Astyanax mexicanus: one gene and its partners. The protein of the gene in region 3 purifies or fractionates together with the protein of the main gene of each other region. This does not show direct contact. Links are inferred from orthologs where the notes say so. Each region holds a gene or a part of one and is shown on either strand. Other genes may lie near its edges.

The links. Proteins that work in one complex are often made in the same cells at the same time.
Region 1: the proteins of ubiquitin carboxyl-terminal hydrolase 15 (region 3) and rnf40 purify together in Homo sapiens (affinity purification with mass spectrometry; 4 studies listed by BioGRID and IntAct, with this or other methods). This does not show direct contact. The link is inferred for Astyanax mexicanus from reciprocal best matches to the Homo sapiens genes USP15 and RNF40.
Region 2: the proteins of ubiquitin carboxyl-terminal hydrolase 15 (region 3) and tut1 purify together in Homo sapiens (affinity purification with mass spectrometry; 4 studies listed by BioGRID and IntAct, with this or other methods). This does not show direct contact. The link is inferred for Astyanax mexicanus from reciprocal best matches to the Homo sapiens genes USP15 and TUT1.

Annotation. Positions count from the first base shown.
Region 1 is NC_064422.1:30,430,440-30,437,689, reverse strand, and holds the start of rnf40 (E3 ubiquitin-protein ligase BRE1B), read right to left. Parts: upstream 3,008-7,250; 5' UTR 2,936-3,007; exon of another isoform or gene 2,930-2,935; intron 1,889-2,929; 5' UTR 1,884-1,888; coding exon 1,749-1,883; intron 1,633-1,748; coding exon 1,465-1,632; intron 544-1,464; coding exon 225-543; intron 1-224. Other genes in the region: ccdc189 (coiled-coil domain-containing protein 189), read left to right, coding at 3,590-3,607, 3,711-3,745, 3,839-3,904, 4,442-4,605, 5,051-5,121, 5,232-5,348, 5,457-5,529, 5,618-5,725 and 1 more; phkg2 (phosphorylase b kinase gamma catalytic chain, liver/testis isoform), read right to left, coding at 7,149-7,250.
Region 2 is NC_064422.1:21,759,932-21,767,183, reverse strand, and holds the start of tut1 (speckle targeted PIP5K1A-regulated poly(A) polymerase), read right to left. Parts: upstream 3,008-7,252; 5' UTR 2,893-3,007; coding exon 2,817-2,892; intron 321-2,816; coding exon 130-320; intron 1-129. Other genes in the region: mki67 (proliferation marker protein Ki-67), read right to left, coding at 4,605-4,693, 5,153-7,252. UniProt on the Homo sapiens protein: Poly(A) polymerase that creates the 3'-poly(A) tail of specific pre-mRNAs. Localizes to nuclear speckles together with PIP5K1A and mediates polyadenylation of a select set of mRNAs, such as HMOX1.
Region 3 is NC_064409.1:16,810,669-16,818,457, reverse strand, and holds the start of ubiquitin carboxyl-terminal hydrolase 15, read right to left. Parts: upstream 3,002-7,789; 5' UTR 2,962-3,001; coding exon 2,873-2,961; intron 672-2,872; coding exon 544-671; intron 344-543; coding exon 213-343; intron 1-212. UniProt on the Homo sapiens protein: Hydrolase that removes conjugated ubiquitin from target proteins and regulates various pathways such as the TGF-beta receptor signaling, NF-kappa-B and RNF41/NRDP1-PRKN pathways.

The sequences.
Region 1 (7,250 bases), on a different chromosome or scaffold from region 3:
GTATACAATGAAAAATGCCCTTGCATCTGCTTTTAAGTACAGAACACAAAAATGTCTAAAGCCTTAAGAAAACTTAAGGTGTTTAGAAATACATACGATTGGTACAGTTACTCCTTGATGCACAGCAGTCACGGCAACGTTTGCATGTTAGTTTGAAATTCCACATACTGATATAACGTGCATTATATTTAAAAATAAATAAATAAAAAAAAATGTGTGGTTACCTGGTATTCCATCCTGTACTGGACCTTCAGGAGGCTTCACATCCACATCAGGCTGATTCTTCACTTGTTCCGGTTGCGACTCCGGCTGTGGTACCTGTTCGGGCTGCTGCTGCTGTTCCTCCTCCTCTGCTGGAGCTGGAGGCTGAGGAAGTCCATCCTCTCCTTCCACCAGAGGGGCAGAAAATTCAGGGGCAGGTGAGGTGGCTGTTGCAGGAACAGTGGCAGGTGCAGAGGCTGGAGGACTAGCAGGAGTCTTCGCAGTCAGTGGAGTAACCTTAGGCTCAACACGTTGCAGTAATTCTTGAACATTTTCATCCAGCTGCATGAAGAAAGAGACAAATTGAACGAATTAAGGTTTTCCTCTGCTCTTCATAAATACATGTATGCATAGTACATAAAAAAATTAAAGTTTGTAATTTGCAATAATATGATGAAACATTTTCCTCAGATAATTATATTGTTAATTATAATTATACTATAATCATATTGTCACATCCTATATGAAATTACAGCCCAGAGGTATATCCAAGATTTAAAAAATATATATTTTACACATTATCCAATAATTATAGACATGGTCTTACAATTATTCATTTAATAAAAGCACATTAAAGTACTTATAATACTATAATATCGTACCATTCACACTATTTTTCGACCCTGCACTCAGTGTTTCTACAGTAGGAAATACACTGAGCTAATATTACATTATTGACATACACAAAACAGATTTAAACACATATATGTGCACAAAAATTATATTAAAAGCTCTTCTTTTTTTAATTTCTATTTTTTTTTGCAGCAAATCTTTTAAATGTGCAGATATTGGTGCACTTTGTCTACATCTAAAAGTATCACTTTAAATATTGTGTATCATGCTCACAATAGATGAGCCAACTATTTATGCTCCTTACAGTAAGATAACAGTACCTCATTGAATGTTACACAACAGAAGAATGTAAACACAACAGAAGAGGTGTGGAAAACAACTATATAATCTAATGTAATCTAAAAGTATATTAATTCTATATTTCCGGTAACATTTAGCTGCTTACACAAATTAATTCTATGTTCCCGAAACTGTTTTTTGACACCCATCCACATACATTACAAAGAGAGTAGTAAGCAATGTAATACAGGGCTAATGATAAATCCTGCACCTAAAGCATGGGGTCACACTTATAGCTCCCCCCACTACTATACTCTACTGTCCCACTTACTCACTAGGTGTGCGTATTACCTGAGTCCAGTAGCGGTTAACAATCAGAAGTGTAGTATCATCAGTTGCTTGTCTTTTTTCCAGCTTCTCAATCTTCTCTCTCAGCTCATCTTCAATAGCTTGTCTTTGCTCAAGGCGTTCAAACAACTTCTTGTTCTTAAACTGAATGACCTTCATGTCCATTTCCTCCTGCAAAGCACAGAGTGATACAAAAGAGTAAACATGGGTTTTGCTTCAGTTCGGAGCCTGACATTTACAGTATCACTGTAAAGACACCCAAAAAGTTTTGTCTAACAGGAACTCACAGTTGAGGAAACCCCTCCAATACGAATCGGCTCTATGAGGGTTGTTGTAGTTTTCTCTTCTTTCTTCATCTTCTTTTCTGGGGGGCCAGGAGGACTGTCCCCTCCTGAGGCACGCTTGCCCCCCGTGCCAGACATGGTTCCTTTATTATAGAGAGAATATAGATTGAAACAAAACACAAAAACATAGCTATCAAAGTAACTGAAAGTAAATGCAGTAGCTAATGTAAGCAAGGTACCTAAACTTTTGAACCAATGCCTTCGTGGCCATTTTTAATGACCATACGATCTTTGATCATCAGTACAGACATTGCAAAAACTGGTTATAGTGACCTATATATCTCACCTAAAAAATAGCTGAATTACATTTCTGCATGTTTTGCACCACTCTGTGTTATATGTGTCTGAATGGAGCCTGGCAGCATTAAATCAGCATTTTATTTTTTTAAATCAGCACCTTAAATCAATTTAAAACCAAAACAGTGAATAAACGGAAAATATTTTTTCATGACTTTTTCCAAAACTTATACAGAAAACTTATACAGGTCTGGAAATTGGTGTAAGTTCTATTTGCAGTTGTGTGTAATGATGTTTACAGTGTATACATACATAGACTTGGCTAATATTATCTCAAGAGATTAGCTAGCTAGATTAGTTTAAATATCTGAAAGTTTTGTTGACAATGTAGCTTAAATCACTAAACTAGATTAGCTAAATCGACCATAAACAAATGTACCCCGAACTGAATCGTTCTTTTTTACTTTGCTAATGCTGTATTAACTGCTACAGAGGGCCGACCCTCGGGACAGCGGCCCATATATCGCAACACGCTGCACAGGTTTAATCTACGCTCATATATACAGCGATAAAACTACAACTATTATCTCTAATCAACATATTATTTAAAACTGTAGATTCATTAGTTACTGCCGGTGTTTACAGCTAATACGATTTAGCTAAGCTAGTTAGCATTAGCTAGCGCTAGCTCCGACAGGTAACGTTAGCTAACTAGCTAAAGAGCCAACTACGTAAAATATGAGTAAATACAGGGGATTTTCACTGAACCTAAAGCCACAGTTTGTAGAATAATAATGTAACCTCAGATTGCGCCTTCCGAACAAACCCACACTTCACAGTTTCTTAATTAATATGAAGGAATATGGTACATTTATCTGAACACATACACAAACCTTCGCTAACCGTACTGGATAGGAACGGCAGTAGCAGTGCGAAACGGATACGGAGGAATATTAGAGAGGCGAGCTTCTGGCTTCACAATAAAAGTCACTACAAACGTGGGGAAAAATTAGCTATACTTATCTGGCAAAAAAGTAAGAGACCACTTCAGATTCTGAATCCGTTTCTCTGATTTTGCTATTTATAGGTATATGTTTGAGTAAAATGAACATTGTTATTTTATACTATACTACAGACAACATTTCTCCCAAATTCCAAATAAAAATAGTCATTTAGAGCATTTATTTGCAGTTATTCAAAAGCAGTGTGTAAGACTGGTGGTGGAGAACATGCCAAGATGCATTATAACTGTGATTAAAAACCAGGGTTATTTCACCAAATATTGATTTCTTATATATATATATATATATTGCTTTCGTTCTAAAGCACAAACTTTTAAGTACTTTTAATTTTACAAAATTTATCCGCCCTGCTCTGTCGTGGAAGAGACCCGGGTGTTGTTGCTAGGATACAGTACAACACAAAGCAATTTACTGACAGTCCTCCGTTACATTTTTGTTTAGAGGGAACGAACACACTGTAGTAAACAGCTGGATTTAAATTTACTGTGTTTATAATATGTCTATCCTTCAACTACAAGGATCAACATGAAGAAGGAAACACTGGTATGATATAAGAGAGATTCTGGAAAGATATGTAGAGCAATTATAACATTAAATTGAAATTAGAGATGAGTTTTTGAGTGTTGTTTTTGTGACTTGTTTTCAGGAGCCATGCATTCCAAAAGCCAGAGTCCTGTTATGGTATGTTATAGTTATAGACCATTACTTTTTAATTAAAAATGACTTACTGTAAATAGCAGCTGTTAAACACTGTTGTTAATGCTGAATCTGCAGGGCAGACCTGAGTTACAGTGACATGGAGGAAATGGACAAGGCAGATTCAATAACAGACACAGAAAGGTTTGCCTACATTTTTATTTTTTTTCCCCAAAAGAGCCTGATGTGACACGTGTGTCACAGACCCTTTAAAAGCTCTGTCCTTCAGTTTAACTCATAAAGCCAATAAAAATATACTAAACATCCTGAAAGCGTCACAGGACAGTTAATTCTGTGTTAATTCATTTTGATCTTATTTACAGAATGTAGGTGTTCTGAATTAGTGCTGGAGATATAGCTCCTTTTTTAAACAATTAAAATTAAACAATTCGATTTTACATTTTTATATTGATATGATTTCTGGAACAAAATGTTTAAACAGAAGAAATTATTGTTGTGTTATTTATGTCACATCAGGATTTTAGTCTCAAAATATTTCATGGGTCATGTGCCCACAATAAGAAAAAACATGAAAGAGCTGCTTACTGGAAGTATCTGATAATTTTTTTTTTTTTGGCATCATTATACAGAAAGGGACCTGGGTCTCTTATGGGTTATTTTTAGTAATTAATAAATAATACATTAATTACATAACATTTTTTTATGTCACATTGTTTTCAGAATTCTGTGTCGTGCATTAAAACTCGATCTGCCCGAGCCACGACTGGGAATTCTGCTGGAGATGTTCACAAATTTAGTGAGGTTTTGCAGGGAGCAACATTTTAACCGGGAGCAAACATCTGTTCTTCTCTCCATTGTGAAGAATGTACATCAGTTGAACACAGGTGACACATTATCTTAAAATTATCTAGATTTTTAGTCTGCGTATGGAGTTGATATTTTATAATCGAGCTGCATGGTCACTACTACATTCAGCTCTCAGTTCTGGTATTCTGTGTTTAAGCCCTTTAATGTGAATGCGCTCACTCTCAACTTCAAAAACAGCATTTTATTTTATGTTTTATTTATTTAGGAGATTTTAACAGGTTTTACTTCAACTTTTACTAATATATGAAGATTTTTTGATCATTTAAAAGTTATCTGTAGTATAAAGTGGTCTTAAAATCACAATAATATCGTTTATTGCAGTAAATTCTGAGACAATAGTGTCTAAACAAAAATATTTATCATGACAGGCCTACTCACTGTCAAGATTTGTGACACTACTTCAACACTGATACGTCCTTTTATAAACTCTCCCGAAACCATATTTTCTTTCTCACATGACAGAAACCCCCCTCAACAACATGGACCAGTGCTTTTCCTACTGCAGTGAACTTCTACTTTGTCATTCTGTCAGAGTGTGTACATAATTATTGTAATAAAAAAGTAAACACATTTAATTGAACATTTTGGGTAAAAAAATCTTCAAAAATCAACTTCAAATACATTGCTTTTTTGTACACTCTAGAGACCTCCTTTCAGTGTCCATCTTTTTGATGCAGAACAACTGACCCAGATTCTTCAATATCTTACCAACACATATATGAGACACTACAAGCTGTACAAGTACATATTTACACCACAGGTATGTTGGGGATCCTAATTTTTACAGTCTAAAAAATGTGCAGAATTTCTGGCATGGTAGAATTTTAATAATCGATGGGACATTTTACTCCCCTCACTGCTGGTGAAGATGTATTTGGACTTATCATTGTCTTACACTGGAATGCCTGAGGAAGCTGCTTCAGAGGAAGAAGCCAGTGATGGTAAACTCAGTATTTCAATACAATAACAATTGTTTTACTTTCAGATTTTTGAAGTCAGCTTTGAGACTGATTTATCTCTGTACCTTAGAGTATGCTACAGGTGCGGAGAATGAAACAGGGAAGGTGGCAGGCAGTACAAGTGAGGAAACGGCATCAGCAGAAATTCTGACCACAGACACTGAAACACTTCACCAAGGTATTTATATAGCAGGAGATTATTGTAAGAAAAAAAAAAATCATAAAGTGGGCAAACAATTTCACACCACTGTACACGTAAAAAGAATAGCAGAATAACATAATATACTGTGTAATGCATTATGTACACTGTGGATTAACCTAAAATAAGAGACAGTATTGGGCAAAAATGTATAATAAGAATATGGTACGAATTTCAAGAAGCAGACGCTTGATTTTTCTATCATTAGGTCCATCCCCAAAAACAGAGCTCCGGACAATCGTGGAAAAAGAAGTAAAGGATGAAGTGATGCGCTTGACAGCTCAGCTAGAAAAACGGCTTCAGGAAAGTACTGATCAGCTAAACACAGCTCTTACTGTGCTGGAGGCTAATATTCGATCTAAGAAGTGACCAATCAACTTCACACCATCTGGGTATTTTATCAAACTGCTGTATTTCAATTTGGAAATTATTTTTCAATAAAATTCTTTCTTCATAAGTTATTTTCATTAAAAAAAGGTAAATACATATAGTTTTACTCATCAGTAGATTATTCTATCAAAATAGTTGTTTGTCGCAGCCCTATTTTACACCTTAAACATACATGCTTTATAAAACTAACTATATGGTTTATCAAACAAGTAAAAAAAAAAAAGAAAAAAAGAAAAGAAAACTAGACAACAGCAAACTCATAAATAATAATATAGTAATATATTTGCTTTTTTAGTCACAATCAGTACAGTACTCAGTCATAAAAACATGGTGTTTGGTTATCATAGATGAAAAGGAATAAGTGGTCAAATATATTAAAATAAATCTTCTGAAAGTGATCAGGAAAGCAACCATACATTGCTTATCAGAAAGATGTAAATGCTGCAGTAAAATAATGTATCTGAGCTAAGATATAAACAAAGTAAAACTAAAACTAGATGTACAATACAGTAGTTACCTGTCATCCACAATCTGGTAATTTACAAATTAGCCAGTAAATAAACCTCTGGTAATGCACGTAACAATCATTAGGACACTTACAGTGTTTAAATTCAACAAGATTATATAACACCCAAGAATAGCCGCTGGTCTGTTGGAATGTAAACAGAGTTACAATAGCCAGCAACCCCAATCTAGTCATCCCCAATCTGCATATTATATTTTTAGATTATACACAAGCAGTACACTTAGTATGCTACAGGTCTGTTCATACATTCAAGAGCAACCTGATCATAATACAGTGAAACAGTAAAAGTGAGGTCAGATTACTTGCATGTAACATTGAATGAATGAATGAAGCACCTCTCATTGTTAATGAAACAGTAATCATGAATAAATAGTACAAATCTGTTTTGTGCGCCTCTGGACGGATGAATGCCTATAGTCCCTGAACTGTGTTATAACTTATAATGCAAAATAGTGAAGTATCGTTAGATACAGGAAAATAATGGATCTAGTTCTCAAGGTCCTCTAAACCAACAAGAAGAATTTTAGTGGTGTTCTGGAAAAGAGCAGCCCGGTTCTGTTGTTCCCCTTTCTTCACCCAGTGTCCATA
Region 2 (7,252 bases), on a different chromosome or scaffold from region 3:
TATACAATTCAGAGAGACCAATTGTTTTGTTCACAAAGAAAAAAAAATTGGATTTTAGCAGAAGGAGACCTTTAATCAAAAGTGTGTGTTGGAACAACTTACTTGTCTTTAATTAAAAAACACACTGACCTTGTCCTTGTCCATGATTATTTCAGACACAGGGCCGAACTGCTCAAAATACTCAGCGAGCTCCGTCCTGGATGTAGTCGGTTTAATGCCGCTGACATAGATGCTGCTCTCCACCTGAGCATCCCTCTTGCTCCGCAGCCTGCAGAGGTGCTGGTGCTTCTTTCCTTTCAAATGTGCTTCCAGACTCGGCCCTGGTTAAAAAACATGGGACTAATTAGTCATTCAGAGCTTGGTGTAGTTAAATGGTACACAACACTTTATAGAAAATGACACTGATATTTTCCTAGCATGTGAAAAATGTCATTTACGCCATCATTTTGTATCGTTTGGATTACTGTAATGGACTATAAAGCAGTGTCAAAAAACGAGGATATTTTGAAGTTTACAGTGAGTCCTAATTGCAGCTGGCTCTCAGGCCCTAAGAAAATAGAGCACATCCCCCTCATTTAAGCCCTCATTTATTTGTTAAATACAAGGTACTATTCCTGCCAATATCTCAGAACAACCAATATTCTCATTTCTCGTCCGAAGTCTCAGAGCTAACTCGTGTTTCTTTTCTTACTGTAGTAAAAAAGGGACATGACTGTACATATTACAGCATTAAAATCCTAATGCAACATAAATGGCACAACAACAATATTAAAACTATAAATAATAAATCATGACAGAACTACTTATATGGAATGTGAAACAGTTTATTAAAGCATCTGATTTGTTAAAAAGATGGCAACAGAGCTGTAAAAGCAAAAAATAAATAAATAAATAAAAAAAATACACTTTTACGAGCAATTTATCTCCAGCACTAAACCACCACACCTACACCTGTCACTTAGGGACTGCTTAAGTTAAAGTTATGGCAAGAGAGCTGTAAGGAATTTTACAGACATGTATAAAGTACTAGAGACCAAGATTTGATTAAAACTACAAGTACTCTATAAAACAGTAACTTGAGTAGAAGTTGACGTGTTCTTTTAGCACCACAAGTGGAAGTACTAAAGTTGAACAAATGATTGTAAGGAGATTATTTTAGGATGTAGTACTAAAGTACTAAAAAGTAAAAGTACAATACTGTGTTATATAGTTATTACAGAAAGCAGTGGTAAGGTCTCAGCGTGAAAAGCAGAATGGGAGCAGGGAGGTCTTTTTATAAGATCAGCTTGATCGCTTGAATCACTTAACTGATAATCAAGAGCATGTACCGCTCTGGCTTTAAGGATAATGTGATTTTGGAATGATTAACATTTTTATTACTGTAAAAATAATGATAGAGCACATAAAAAATGATCAGAATTAAAGTATTAAACTCATGTATAGGGCTCTGGGTGATCCAGCAGGCTAAGCGCAGCAACTATGATCAGGAGATCGCCAGTTTGAATTCTGTTCATGTAGCTTGCCATTGGCTCCCTGAAAGAGCACAATTGGCCTTGCTCTCTCTGAGTGGGTAGATGGTGCTCTCTCCCCACATCACTCCAGAGGGTGATGTCTATTTATAAAAAGCTAAACATCTAGCAAGCTAGCTCATCATTGAACAATGTGTATAATAGGTTTAAAAATAAAGAAAACTTAATAAAATAAAACAAAACAAAACAAAAAAACCCCTGAAATTTATGTTAAAGTTATTTTAGGAAGTGACATGCCTATTTAAAAAGCAACAGAAGTTGTTCATTAGTTAGAGTTTATTTGTAACATTTCTAACAAATTTAGGGTGTTTTTTATTAACTTTTTTCTCTCCCAAACGTTAACCCTTCACAGCTTCAAAAACAGGTATTATGCAAATTAGGCGATGACCTCATTTAGCGACTTCTAACGACTTTTAGTAAAGCCAATAGCTACTTTCCTTACTGAGGAGTTGGCAACACTAGGCACATGCTCGTCTTCACCCTCCTGGTGTTGGGGCATCACTAGTGAAAGGGGAGTCCTAATGAGTGGGTTGGGTTATTGGTCGTGTAAATTGGGGAAAAAATTAGAAAGAAAAAAAAAAAAGTACAAAATGTAGTGAAGTAAAAGTGGAATTAGGAGAAGAATAATATTCCAGTAGATACAGCATTTTGAAAATTAAGTACAGTAGTGAAAGAGGTTTTTAAAGCTTTTAAAGGGTCTGTAACTCTTAGATCACCATGTTGGTCTGGTAACGTTATATGCAATAAGTTACATTTCTGTAAGAGAGCTTTCACCACCATTGTTAACAATAAGCTGTGGAGCATTTCACAATAAATTCTTAATGAATAAATGAATGAATGAATACTCTGTGAATGAAGTTTGATCACCTATTAATTAACCATTTATCTAGCTAATAATGCAGCAACCGAGCTCACAGAAAGACTTTGTTTTAATATGAGCCTAAATTTTACTCGGGTTCTTATGCGAAGGCAAACAAAAAAAAATGCCTACAGCTGAAACAGAAACTTACTTAACTAAGAAACTTCTAGAACAGTAAGCTAAGCTAATGGGCTCAGACAACACATTTAATTTTAACATTTAATTAAAAATGTATACACTGATAAACCTTTAACCCCAGCTTTTCTCAGCTCTTCACTTTAGACTCGTGAGAAATAGTTAGGTTAGCTAGTTTTAGATGCAGGTCTGTGGTTAGTTTTAGTCAGCGTGCTCAGAGAACGCATACATTAGCAGCGCTAAGCTAAGCTAAGTTGCGCTAATTTATCTGTATTTCTCTCCCCCGGACTCACGGTTAGGGGTGTGAATGCTGCACAGTTTGCAGTAGAAGCCCCTCGGCGTGGTCCTGATGTCTTCACTCGTCTCCATCCTGCTGGAAACGCTGCTGCTCGAGAGTGAGGAATGCTAAGCTAAGCTAAGCACAAGTTAAATCTCCCTCCACAGAGCGAGGCTCGGTCCCGCAGCATTAAACAACACCGGAAACTTCAACCACCGCCTTTCAGTTCCCCCCTACTAAGTTAACGTTACTGCTTCAGCGGACCTGCCACCAGACCTGCCTAAGATTTACGATTTATTTTTTTAAATCTAAAAATAAATACATACAAACGTAAGTAAATTATTTAATAAAAGTAATATGGTTATAAAAAATAAATAATAAGAATTAATATAAAATATAAATAAATATTGAAATAATTTAATAGAGGAATATATAAAATGCAGAAATGAAAAGAATAACGTCTACAAATACAAATACTCTAGTTGCTGTATTTATTTCTTTATACAATTAATGTATGAATGTATCCATTTATTACTGATTTTATACCAATTTTTTCTTAGTTAATTTCTGAAGTTATATATTTATTTATTTATAATTTTGGTAGTTTTGGTCCTTCATACTCAGCACCACCAGAGATTTAGGATAATTTCTTTAAATTTGACCATATCGATGTAATAAATAATTTTGAATTATTCAAAAATGTTTGTAAAAGTCTCATATTGTATAATAGGTGGCTCAACATAGTAATGGAAAATATATATTTAAGGCATTTTAAATGAACTTGAGTCAAAAACATTAAAAACATCAGTGTAAATAGCAAACAATGCACTTATGCATAAACCATGGGGCCTTCCAGATTTTATTACACTTATATTAATGGGTATTAAAATATAAATAACAGAATCCGTGTGAGACTGGCTAAATTATATTTATATTAGGGGTGTTAATCATTTAAAATTATACTAATCACCACAATATTCTGTGATAATTCATAATTAAAATAATTTCTTTTTTGTTTAATGGTGCCTGTACTTTTGGGAGAGGAGCAGTGATAATGTAGTATGGTCAAACTTTCAGGATATATTTAAAGCTTTTAAAATAAGTTACTGTGTTGAGTGACTGAGTTTAACTTAGAACTTTATTAGAAGAAAAACACTATTGTGGCTCCATATTCCAGACATGCCATCAGCTGTGTGCGTATGTGAGACATAAGAAATAAATACCCCACAAGTATTGCAATTAAATATATGAAAATGATTTAGCACCAATAAAAGACATTCAGACCTCAAGAACCTTTACCAAATTTTTACCAAACAAAACATTTTAATAAACAAGACCAACACTGAGGGATTGAGATGGATTTTATTGATGTAAACCTTGTTCTCCAAAGATTAAATCAAAAGATTAAGATGCATTAAGACATTTTTAAGAGTAAAGTTTGGTGACAATTCGGAAGAACAATTGTTTACTAACCCACAAATTGTTTATTTTTTCTTTTAACAAACACCGGACACAACCTAAAACCTATAGCATAGAATATGGTCACTTTGAATCATCAAGCAAAAGTAGAAAAACAGCAAGGTTTTACTGACCAAAAAGGGCATACATTTTCCAGTCCTTTAAACCCTAAAAAATGAATATTTTGAAAAATTATATTCACGTCTTTTTAAAAACAATAAAACACTGTTTAACAATAAAAACATATTAATGAACAAAGAGAGAGTGCTATCATAATTGATGGGTCCTGATATATAAAAAACTGATTCTTGCTTTTGAATATTTACAACTGATCAACACCAGCAGATCATTTTCTCCTTGTTCGCCGCACAGGAGCTGAAGAAACCTCAATCTCAGTTTTCTTCTGGACTCTGGCTCCTCGTCGACTGGAGGTTTCTGTGTTTAAAATAAATAAAGAAATAAATACAGAAAATTCACCTGGTTATGCTGGGCATATTCTGATACTACAATTAGTGAATGAAGAAAAAAAAAATAACAAAGTTACAGCCTAGTTGTTTTAAAACTGTTTAAACTTGTGTAAACCTTATCCTTTTTAAATATAATCAAAACAGATGAGAAGGCTATATAAATCAATGTATCAATCATATTTAATAGTTGATTTAATCTTCAATACAGGGCAATTGCTGACTGCACAATCCATACAAAATATTCAAATTACATCTTGGCTTAAAAGAAAGGTAAAAGTACCCAATTTAGGAACGCAATTAAAATGTTTAAAATCTGATTGAGTATAAATTCAAAAGTGAAGGAGAAGGTGGTTTTATACAAGATAACTAGAATGAGACCTGAGCGCATGAATAAAACTTAAAACTGTTGAAAGTAATAGTTTCTCACCTGAGACGGGCTCTTCAGATGTTGCAGAGATGGAATCTACTTCCTGAGCTGCCTTTCGTTTGCCCCTTACAGGTTTGTTGTCAGAATTTTTTGATGCAGATTCACTTTGTTCCTTTTCAACCTCAGGGGTTTCTTCTATGGCCTCCTTAGCAGCTGCCCTTCTTCCTCTGCCAACTACAGCCACTTCTTTCTGAGCTTCAGCACCATCAGCTTGGCCTTTCCTTCTCTTGGACAATGACTCCAGTGTGGTTGCTTCATCAGAAACATCAAGCTCTTTTCTTTTGCTTCCCCTTTTAAGAACAGCTGCCACTTCATCTTGCTTGGAGTCTAATGAAGCGCCTGCTCTTCCTCTCCTGACCGCTGGCACATTTTCTACAGGAGCTGGCTCAGACTTTTCTGCAGGTTGTTCTTCTGGCTTTTTAACCATTCTACCTTTGCGGCCTTTGGCTGGCGGTTCTGCAGACTGCTTGGTGTCAGAGACGGGTACATCATCAGTAGAAGCCTTAGCTGCAGGTTCAGCTTTCTTTCTGGAGGACTTCTGCTGAGGCACATCTTCAGCTGCTGGAGGCTCCACGGTCTCAATGTTCTTTGAGGCCACCAGATCAGAATTCCAACTGACTGCCTTCCTGGAGGCTTTCTTTTTATTTTCCACATCAGCTTCCTCAGTGGCTGAAGTGTCATCTGCTTTGACAGAAGTACCTTTGGCTACAACCTTTCCTTTTTTGGCATATCTCCCTCTTCCTCGCTTAGCTGGTGCCTCGCTGGTCTCAACATCACACACAGTTTCCTCAGAACTTGCTTGGGAAGTTGCAAGGTCATCAGACTTGGGCTCTGGTAGATTACTGGCCTCTTTGACTGGTTCATCAACTGCAGTGGCAACTTCTGAAACTTTTTGCTCAGTTTTTAAAGCAGCTCTTCTGCCACGAGTAGGCTTGCCAACAGGTTTTGGCACTTCAGCAGAAGAAGCAGCAGCACCACGTCGTCCTCTTTTAACTAGACCTTCTGGTTCATCCCTGATAACAGCAGTTCTTTTTCCTCGCACTGATTTATTGACCGGTGCCTCAGTTTGTTTATCAGCATCGTGGTCAACTTCAGAATGATCTTCAACCTTTTCCTGAGCATCTTCTAAAACCTGAGATGATTTTGGCTGCTTTGTCCTCTTTGATCCTCTGACATTTTTCACCACAGTTTCCACATGTTCCTCAGTCTCTGTGACTGCTGGACTTGTTTCTGCAGCAGCTGGTTGGTCATCAGCATCCTCCCTTGGCTGAGCCTTTAGAGGGGCTCTCCTTCCACGTCCTGGCTTCACCACATGCATTTGTGGTAGTTCATCAGCCACCACTAGAGAATCAGAACTTGTAACATCTACCTCCACTGCAGTTGAAGAGGGTTCAGCAGTTTCCTTCTTTGTTGTCCTACCTCTCCGTGTTCTTGCACTAGTTTTAACAACATCAGTTTCGACAGAAGTCTGAAGCTCAACACTCTCTGGTGGAACAGATTCATTCTCAACTGCAGTTTCAGGCACAGTCAGCTCATGTGCAACAGCTAGGACAGGTGGATTCTCCAGGTCCTGTTTAGCTCTTCGTCCTCTTTTAGCTTTGACTGCAGGGATTGGTGACATTAAGGAGACCTCTGGGATCACAGAAGGTTCTGATTCAGCAACAACATCCTTTTCCTCAACTGCAACTTCAGGCACAACTGGTGGATTCTCTAGTTCCTGTTTAGCTCTTCGTCCCCTTTTAGCCTTCACAACAGGGACTGGCGACTTCAAGGAGACCTCTGGAATTGCAGAAGTTTCAGTAGCTTCAGATTCAGCAACAGTATTTACCATTGCAATATCCTTCTCCTCAACAGTAACTTCAGGTGCAGCCAGCTCATGTGACACAGGGATAATTGGTGGATTCTCCAGCTCCTGTTTTGCTCTTCTCCCCCTTTTAACTTTTGCAGCAGAGACCTTGGGCTTTACTAAAGGTTCAGGTGCTGCCAATTCCACAACAACATTTATATTTTCATCTGCATCTTTGGGCAAACTGAGTTCTTGTACTTCTTGTGAGGCAGAAATGACAAGTGGGTTCTCGACTTCAGGCTTAGCTCCTCGTC
Region 3 (7,789 bases):
CAGAAATAGCAGAACATGCTTCCTGTGTGATTCCATGCAAATCTAATGTGCCACAACCACAACTAGGACATATGCTAAGTCCGATATTACAGGCGCAATAAAACCAGCCCTGGTTTCACGTGAACTGGCACCGTTTTCAAATCACACTGCCTGCATCACATTCTGTATAACACAGCCCATCATAGCATGAATACTCAAATTTAGATACGTACCTTCCGGGCGATGGGTTCCTGGCCATCGGTCAGACCGTACCAGCTCACTAGCTTATTCCAGCCCTCAGTGGGCACGAGGATGTAGTCCAACTCGTCGATAAGATGCTCTTTAATGGCAAGTACATCGCCATCTAAGAACAAAATGCAAAGATAAGCACTGATCAATTGTGTGGCTAAGAGCTCATGTTTTATAGTATATGGACGATGTTTCCTAAAACACCACCATCATTCTGGATCAATAAATAATAAAGCTTATTTATGATCGCTCATTTTTAAGGTAACACTTTCAACAAAAAAAAAATTGGTTTACTAATATGAAACAGTTAATAACCTTTAAGGAGACCCGAGTTGTCCACCGGTCCGGGGTAGACATTCTGATCCCCCATCTGATACTTGTCCCAGCTGTCAAAGCCCACATATTTCTTCCACTGCTTGAACCAGTGACTGTCTATTAAGTACCTGAGATAAACCAGGGATAGGAATGGTTACAATTAGGTAAACCAATTATAGCATTTGCAATCATGTTCACACACCAGACAGATAGACAGTTAACTAAATAGCTATGCAGACAGACAGTCAGTTGTACAAATAGAAAAACAGCTAGAGAGGGAGCAAGATCTGTATTTGGCTAGAAGGCTAGATCCAGATTTATCTAGACAGACACTTATATGGAGACATATACAGCTCTGGAAATAATTATAAGACCACTTCAGTTTCTGAATCAGTTTCTCTGAGTTTGCTATTTATAGGTTAATGTTTGAGTAAAATGAACATTGTTGTTTCATTCTATAAACTACGAACAATATTTCTCCCAAATTCCAAATAAAAATATTGTCATTCAGAGCATTTATTTGCAGAAAATGAGAAAGATGCCGAACTTTCAGACCTCACATCATGCAAATAACACAAATATTTATATTCCTAGAGTTTTTTTATGCATATTTGCTTGTTCTCCTCCACCAGTCTTACACATTGCTTTTGGATAACTTTAAGTGTCTCTTATTTTTTTTCCAGCGCTTTATAGCTAAGTAGTCCAATAACTAGATAAAGACCTAGCATCTAAGTAGATAAACAGCAAAACAGACCTAGATAGCTGAGTATATAGACAACTAGACAACAAACAATGCAGGCAGGTAGATAGACAGCTGGACAAAAAGCTATATATATATATATATATATATATATATATATATATATAGGTAGACAGCAAAATCTAGATATCGTGATACAGAGATAGATAAATAAGCACTGCATAAAAAAGTAAATACACACCCAGACAAAGAGCTAGACAGCTAGATGGAGGGCTAGAGAGCTAGGCAGATACACAATCTGAGCATGGGATTCCAGAGCCAATCAGCCTAAACGCATTTCAAATGCTTAGCTGCAGAGGAAATTCAGCAGACACAATTTATCAATTTGACGTCAAAAAGACGTTGGACTCTAACATCAGGCTTCAAAGACTTCAAAAACCAAACATTTTACTGGTTAGAAATCAAATTTACATATCTGTCAAAAACCTACATTGGATTGACATAAAGCTTCAACATCAGACAGATGTTTTGTTCAAAACGAAAATCTGTTTAATGATTAAATTCTGGTTGGAAATCACATATCCAACAAAAACATCTTAACAGTAGTGGCTGAATTCTGATTACTGATCACCACTGCAATGTCTTTCCACCTTTCCACCTTAGTATTTCACTTTTTGTGGATATTAACATTATGAGTGTTATATTTTTTTGTTTTTTGTTGTTTCTTTGTCTAAATCCTAAATATAGGTATGTTGTGTCAATTTGATAGACAGCAGGTTTACATTACGTCCCAACATTAGACAGACGTTAAATTAAGTTTCCATACCAGCTGGCCCCAAATTACACGTTTTTTTTGCTTTAATGACTTAAATCTGAATGTTGGTATGATATGTCAATATGATGTTGGTACCTGACGTTTTAAAGACGTTGGACTTTGGTCAAAAACCAATGATAGGCAAATGCTGAATAACATCAACGTAAATCTATCTTAGAACCTCACGTTTTGTAGACAGTACCATGATTACATGTTGTTCATGTGTTACAACAAAATGGTGGTATGTTATGTTGACGTGACATTGGCATGTGAAGTTTGGAAGACGTTTAATTTAGGTAACTTTGACAAGTACTTAACACCACAACACCAATACATCCTCTAGGTTAATATACTCTAGCAATGTCAAATGACTTTGGCATTAGACGTTGCCCTGCATTTTGGTCGCCCGACGTCTCGACCTACATTTAACCAGATAGCTAACACAACGTCTTCAGATGTTTGGGGGCAGCTGGGAAGCTAAATGACAGGTGCTCCTCGCGTCTCGTCTCGTCTCCGCCCTGAATGGCCCCGTTAGCGAGTGCCAGCTAACTCCAGACCCACAGAGGAGCGCGTTGGGTCGGCCGGCTCTCAGCCCCCGGAACCGGGCAGGCTGTGGAGGTGCTGGGGGTCTGCGGTTTTGCTGAATAACCCTCACACAGCCCGCTGTCGGTCTCCGCTTTCCAGCTAACTGCTAACGGCTAACGGTGACTAGCTGTCAACACGGCTCCTCCGCGCTGCTGCCCGTTCCGCTCAGCGGCGGCTAGGCGCGGCAGCGGCAGGGCCGGAGGCGCGGAAGGTCGGCGGTCAGCTCTCACCACGTCTCCCCTCTCCGGAGCTGCGTCTTGAGCAGCGCTGTGATCTCTCCTCTCTGAGTGTCCAGATCAGCCGCTCCTCCCTCAGCCATCTTTCCTTGGGCATCGCCCGCTGCATTGTGGGATAGTAAAGTGGGGGGAGCGACTGTGACGCCAGGCTGAGGTTTAGCCAATCAGAGGTTAGCGTAGGTTTTGACGAACAGGAGAGTTCAGCCAATCAAAGGATTAAGACATGCAGAGACGACTGACCTATGGAAATGTTGATCCAATCATTTGCGTGAATTCACACGGGTTTAGCCAATCAGCGGATTCAGGAATGAGAGACTGATGGAAATGTTGAACCAATCATCTGCGTGTATTCTTCTTGACAGACAGATGCGTTTGACACAAGCAGGCTCTGGACACAAGATATGAATTTAGCCAATCAGAGGCTTGAGCAGTAACGGACTGATGGAAATGGTTAACCAATTGGTTGCGTTTAAATAAAAAACTTTTATTTTTATGACGGTAATGTAAATTTGTAAATTAAATGTAGTTATTTATTAATTCATTCATACCCCTGTATTTATTTGTTTGCTTATTTATGTTTGTTCTTTTTTATTTGCTTCTTTGTTTAATTATTTGTTGTTTGTTTGACAGAGACAGGGTTCACTAATTATCAAAAATCTGACAAATAAAAGATGTAACCAATCACCTGCGTGCATCCTTCTAGAGAGACATACATTTAGCCAATCAGTGGCTTAAACTGCCTGGCCAGCACAGAGCTTACAACAGCAAACCACAGGCACTAAACCCTAAACCATATTATTTCCATTAATAGCTGACATGTGTTCCCTTTGAAGTTCCTTTGCTTCTGCAGCGCCCTCTCAGGTTCAACTGAGCTAAAGGTGAGGATGATGTGCCTGTGCACTTTGGTATGCAGACACATCACAATATACAATCAGTTAATCAATAATACAGCCCCCTCCTGCTGACGTCCAATCATCTGCGTCTCACTGCTATCAGAGCTACTTTGCTCAGCCCAATCAGCTCTCCCTTCTGCCCTAACCTAAACCCATACATCACCCAGTGCCCCTCCGAAACTCAGTGGGACACAAGGACGAGGCTCCGTAAGGCGTGGTGAGGTTTCAAAACCCCCACATCTGACAGGTGGCAGGTCCAGACAACTGCTGTCACTCTGAACTGCGGCATGTGACCTGATCTCTTGAAGATTCTCCTTATGAAGATAAATGGGAACATGAGTAGTCTTCTCACAACAGACACTGCATTCAGTTTATAGAACTGCATCTTCGTTCATGCCACAGAAACTCACCTTTGACTATTACAGGTAGACAGAACTTACCTGCACAGGGTAAATCCTGGGGTAAAATGTTAGAGGTATATGGCACTTCAAATAGAGATTTTCAGAGGCACACATTAAAAAAGGTGGCAGAGAATTACTGGCAAGATGGCAGCACAAACGAACAAAGAAACCCACAAAGTATTTTTCTTGGTAAAAAATTTACAATAACTACTAGTTATATTAACATAGTTTAATGTTAAAGTTTCAATACTTTGTAGCTATATTCTTCATAAAAAAAATAAAAAAAACAAATAAAAAAAACAATAAGCAGTTTGTCTTAGTTTCTAGCTACCTTTCCCGTAACACCTTAAATGGTGCAACAGACTGCAGTGGCTGCAGCATTTAAGGTGGATCGGAAAAACGAAATAAAAGCTAAAAAAATATAATTTCAGCTTCCCATCACAGAGGAATTGGGCAATGGGCAATAACAATTAGTTGTTGCCCCACCTGCCCCCTTCCTGAAGACCTACAATGACCTAAAATTACCTAGTTAACCTTGTTCTAAAGGGATGGGTTACACTTAAAATCAATGGGTAGGGGTACAAAAGAGAAATGGGACTGAGCCAAATTTAAAAGCTTCTGTGCTTGGCAAGTTAAAAAAAAACTGTTCGGAATTTGTAAAACCACACTAAATTATTATTTCCTGTAGGTTTATGAATATTTAGGGTTCAAGCACCGAAGGTGCGTAGAACCCTATTGTTTTTGCTAAGATTTTTCTTCTTATTATTATTAGGGTTCAAGCACCGAAGGTGCGTAGAACCCTATTGTTTTTGCTAAGATTTTTCTTATTATTATTATTATTATTCTTTTTCTCCTGTAAAAACAGTTGTGCAGCCTAAACCGTAAGTCATAGAGAAATGAAACTTTGTAGGTAGATGTAGGATCAGTGCATCTCGGTGGACAACAAAAATGGCACCGATTGGTCAAGTGGTGGCGCTATAAACAAGGAAATTCATTTTTCACAATTTTCTCAATAACTCAAAAACCATAAGACCTACATTCAAAATTCTTTTTTTGATGGATTCCTTGGGTCAATACCAACAACTTTCCAATTTGGACCATGCACTTCCGTCTATATAGATTTTGTGCTAATTTGCATAATATGCAAAACCTACTTTTGCAAACTAGTCCTAGGAATTTTGACCAATCCTGGCATGTTTGGTATCAAAACACTCGTGAGAGCATGCGCTTCAATATTCATTAAGAAAAAGTTGAAATATGTAAACAATATGGCCGCCATATGCAAATTAGTCCTTCCGGATATATGCCCCATTCACTTCAAGAGGTAAATTTGGAGCACTGTTTCTCAGCAACCGTGCAACCTAGCAAGTTGAAACTTTGCATGCAGAATCTATCATACAGCCTCTAAAGGATGTTCAAAGGGCAACTTAATCAATCAACATGGCTGAACACCATCAGCCAATCAGCATTCAGCAGAAATTTTGGCAGGCTGAATGTTGCCCAATCTGGATGATATTTGGCAGTTATGTTCAGGTGGAGACACTGTAGTGACCTGCAAAGTGCTGAAACAATCCGCCCACTGGGGGGCGCTGTTCCAAAAAAACGAGTATATGTCAATCATGCTGTACTATTTTGACATCTAATTGTTTTTGCCATATTTAGTACAGTGGCTCTGACAAATTTCTCAATACAACTATGTTTAAAAAGTGCTTTGTTCATTCATAATTGCTAATTGTTTGAAAATAGCTATATTGAAACTACTCTCTGGATATTTGGCCTATCACCTCCATTTCAGTCTTGCTGCACACTGTAGAGTCTCTAGGTAAATGTTCATTAAAAACATTTGTGAAAATTTCACATACAATACTCTCCAGGCATCAAGCAATCTGTGCGTCCTTGGAATTTCTAACCTAAATTGCTGTAACTCTGCAGTATTTGCTGTAATCTCACAATGTTAAAGACCTCTGTACAATATCACTCTGATGAAGCGCCATTTAATACAGAACTAGATTAAGAATAACTTGACATTACATGTCATATCAGAACATTCACTCCTTTGTGCCTCTTCTCAACATTAATAACAGGTGAAAGACTTTTGATCATTTTAAATGTGACAGAATGTCTCCAATTGTGTTAGACCTTCTTACACATCACCATCCTATGCTCTAGTAGGCACCATTGTGCTAGTTGGTGCTTGAACCCGATGATTGCCGCTTGCGGCTATATTTATTATTATTCTTTTTCTCCTGAAAAAACAGTTGTGCAGCCTAAACCGTAAGTCATAGAGAAATGAAACTTGGTAGGTAGATGTAGGATCAGTGCATCTCGGTGCACAACAAAAATGGCACTGATTGGTCAAGTGGTGGCGCTATAAACAAGGAAATTCATTTTTCACAATTTTCTCAATAACTCAAAAACCATAAGACCTACATTCAAAATTATTTTTTGCTGGATTCCTTGGGTCAATACCAACAACTTTCCAATTTGGACCATGCACTTCCGTCTATATAGATTTTTTGCTAATTTGCATAATATGCAAAACCTACTTTTGCAAACTAGTCCTAGGAATTTTGACCAATCCTGGCATGTTTGGTATCAAAACACTCGTGAGAGCATGCGCTTCAATATTCATTAAGAAAAAGTTGAAATATGTAAACAATATGGCCGCCATATGCAAATTAGTCCTTCCGGATATATGCCCCATTCACTTCAAGAGGTAAATTTGGAGCACTGTTTCTCAGCAACCGTGCAACCTAGCAAGTTGAAACTTTGCATGCAGAATCTATCATACAGCCTCTAAAGGATGTTCAAAGGGCAACTTAATCAATCAACATGGCTGAACACCATCAGCCAATCAGCATTCAGCAGACATTTTGGCAGGCTGAATGTTGCCCAATCTGGATGATATTTGGCAGTTATGTTCAGGTGGAGACACTGTAGTGACCTGCAAAGTGCTGAAACAATCCGCCCACTGGGGGGCGCTGTTCCAAAAAAACGAGTATATGTCAATCATGCTGTACTATTTTGACATCTAATTGTTTTTGCCATATTTAGTACAGTGGCTCTGACAAATTTCTCAATACAACTATGTTTAAAAAGTGCTTTGTTCATTCATAATTGCTAATTGTTTGAAAATAGCTATATTGAAACTACTCTCTGGATATTTGGCCTATCACCTCCATTTCAGTCTTGCTGCACACTGTAGAGTCTCTAGGTAAATGTTCATTAAAAACATTTGTGAAAATTTCACATACAATACTCTCCAGGCATCAAGCAATCTGTGCGTCCTTGGAATTTCTAACCTAAATTGCTGTAACTCTGCAGTATTTGCTGTAATCTCACAATGTTAAAGACCTCTGTACAATATCACTCTGATGAAGCGCCATTTAATACAGAACTAGATTAAGAATAACTTGACATTACATGTCATATCAGAACATTCACTCCTTTGTGCCTCTGCTCAACATTAATAACAGGTGAAAGACTTTTGATCATTTCTAAATGTGACAGAATGTCTCCAATTGTGTTAGACCTTCTTACACATCACCATCCTATGCTCTAGTAGGCACCATTGTGCTAGTTGGTGCTTGATGAAGCGCCATTTAATTCAGAACTAG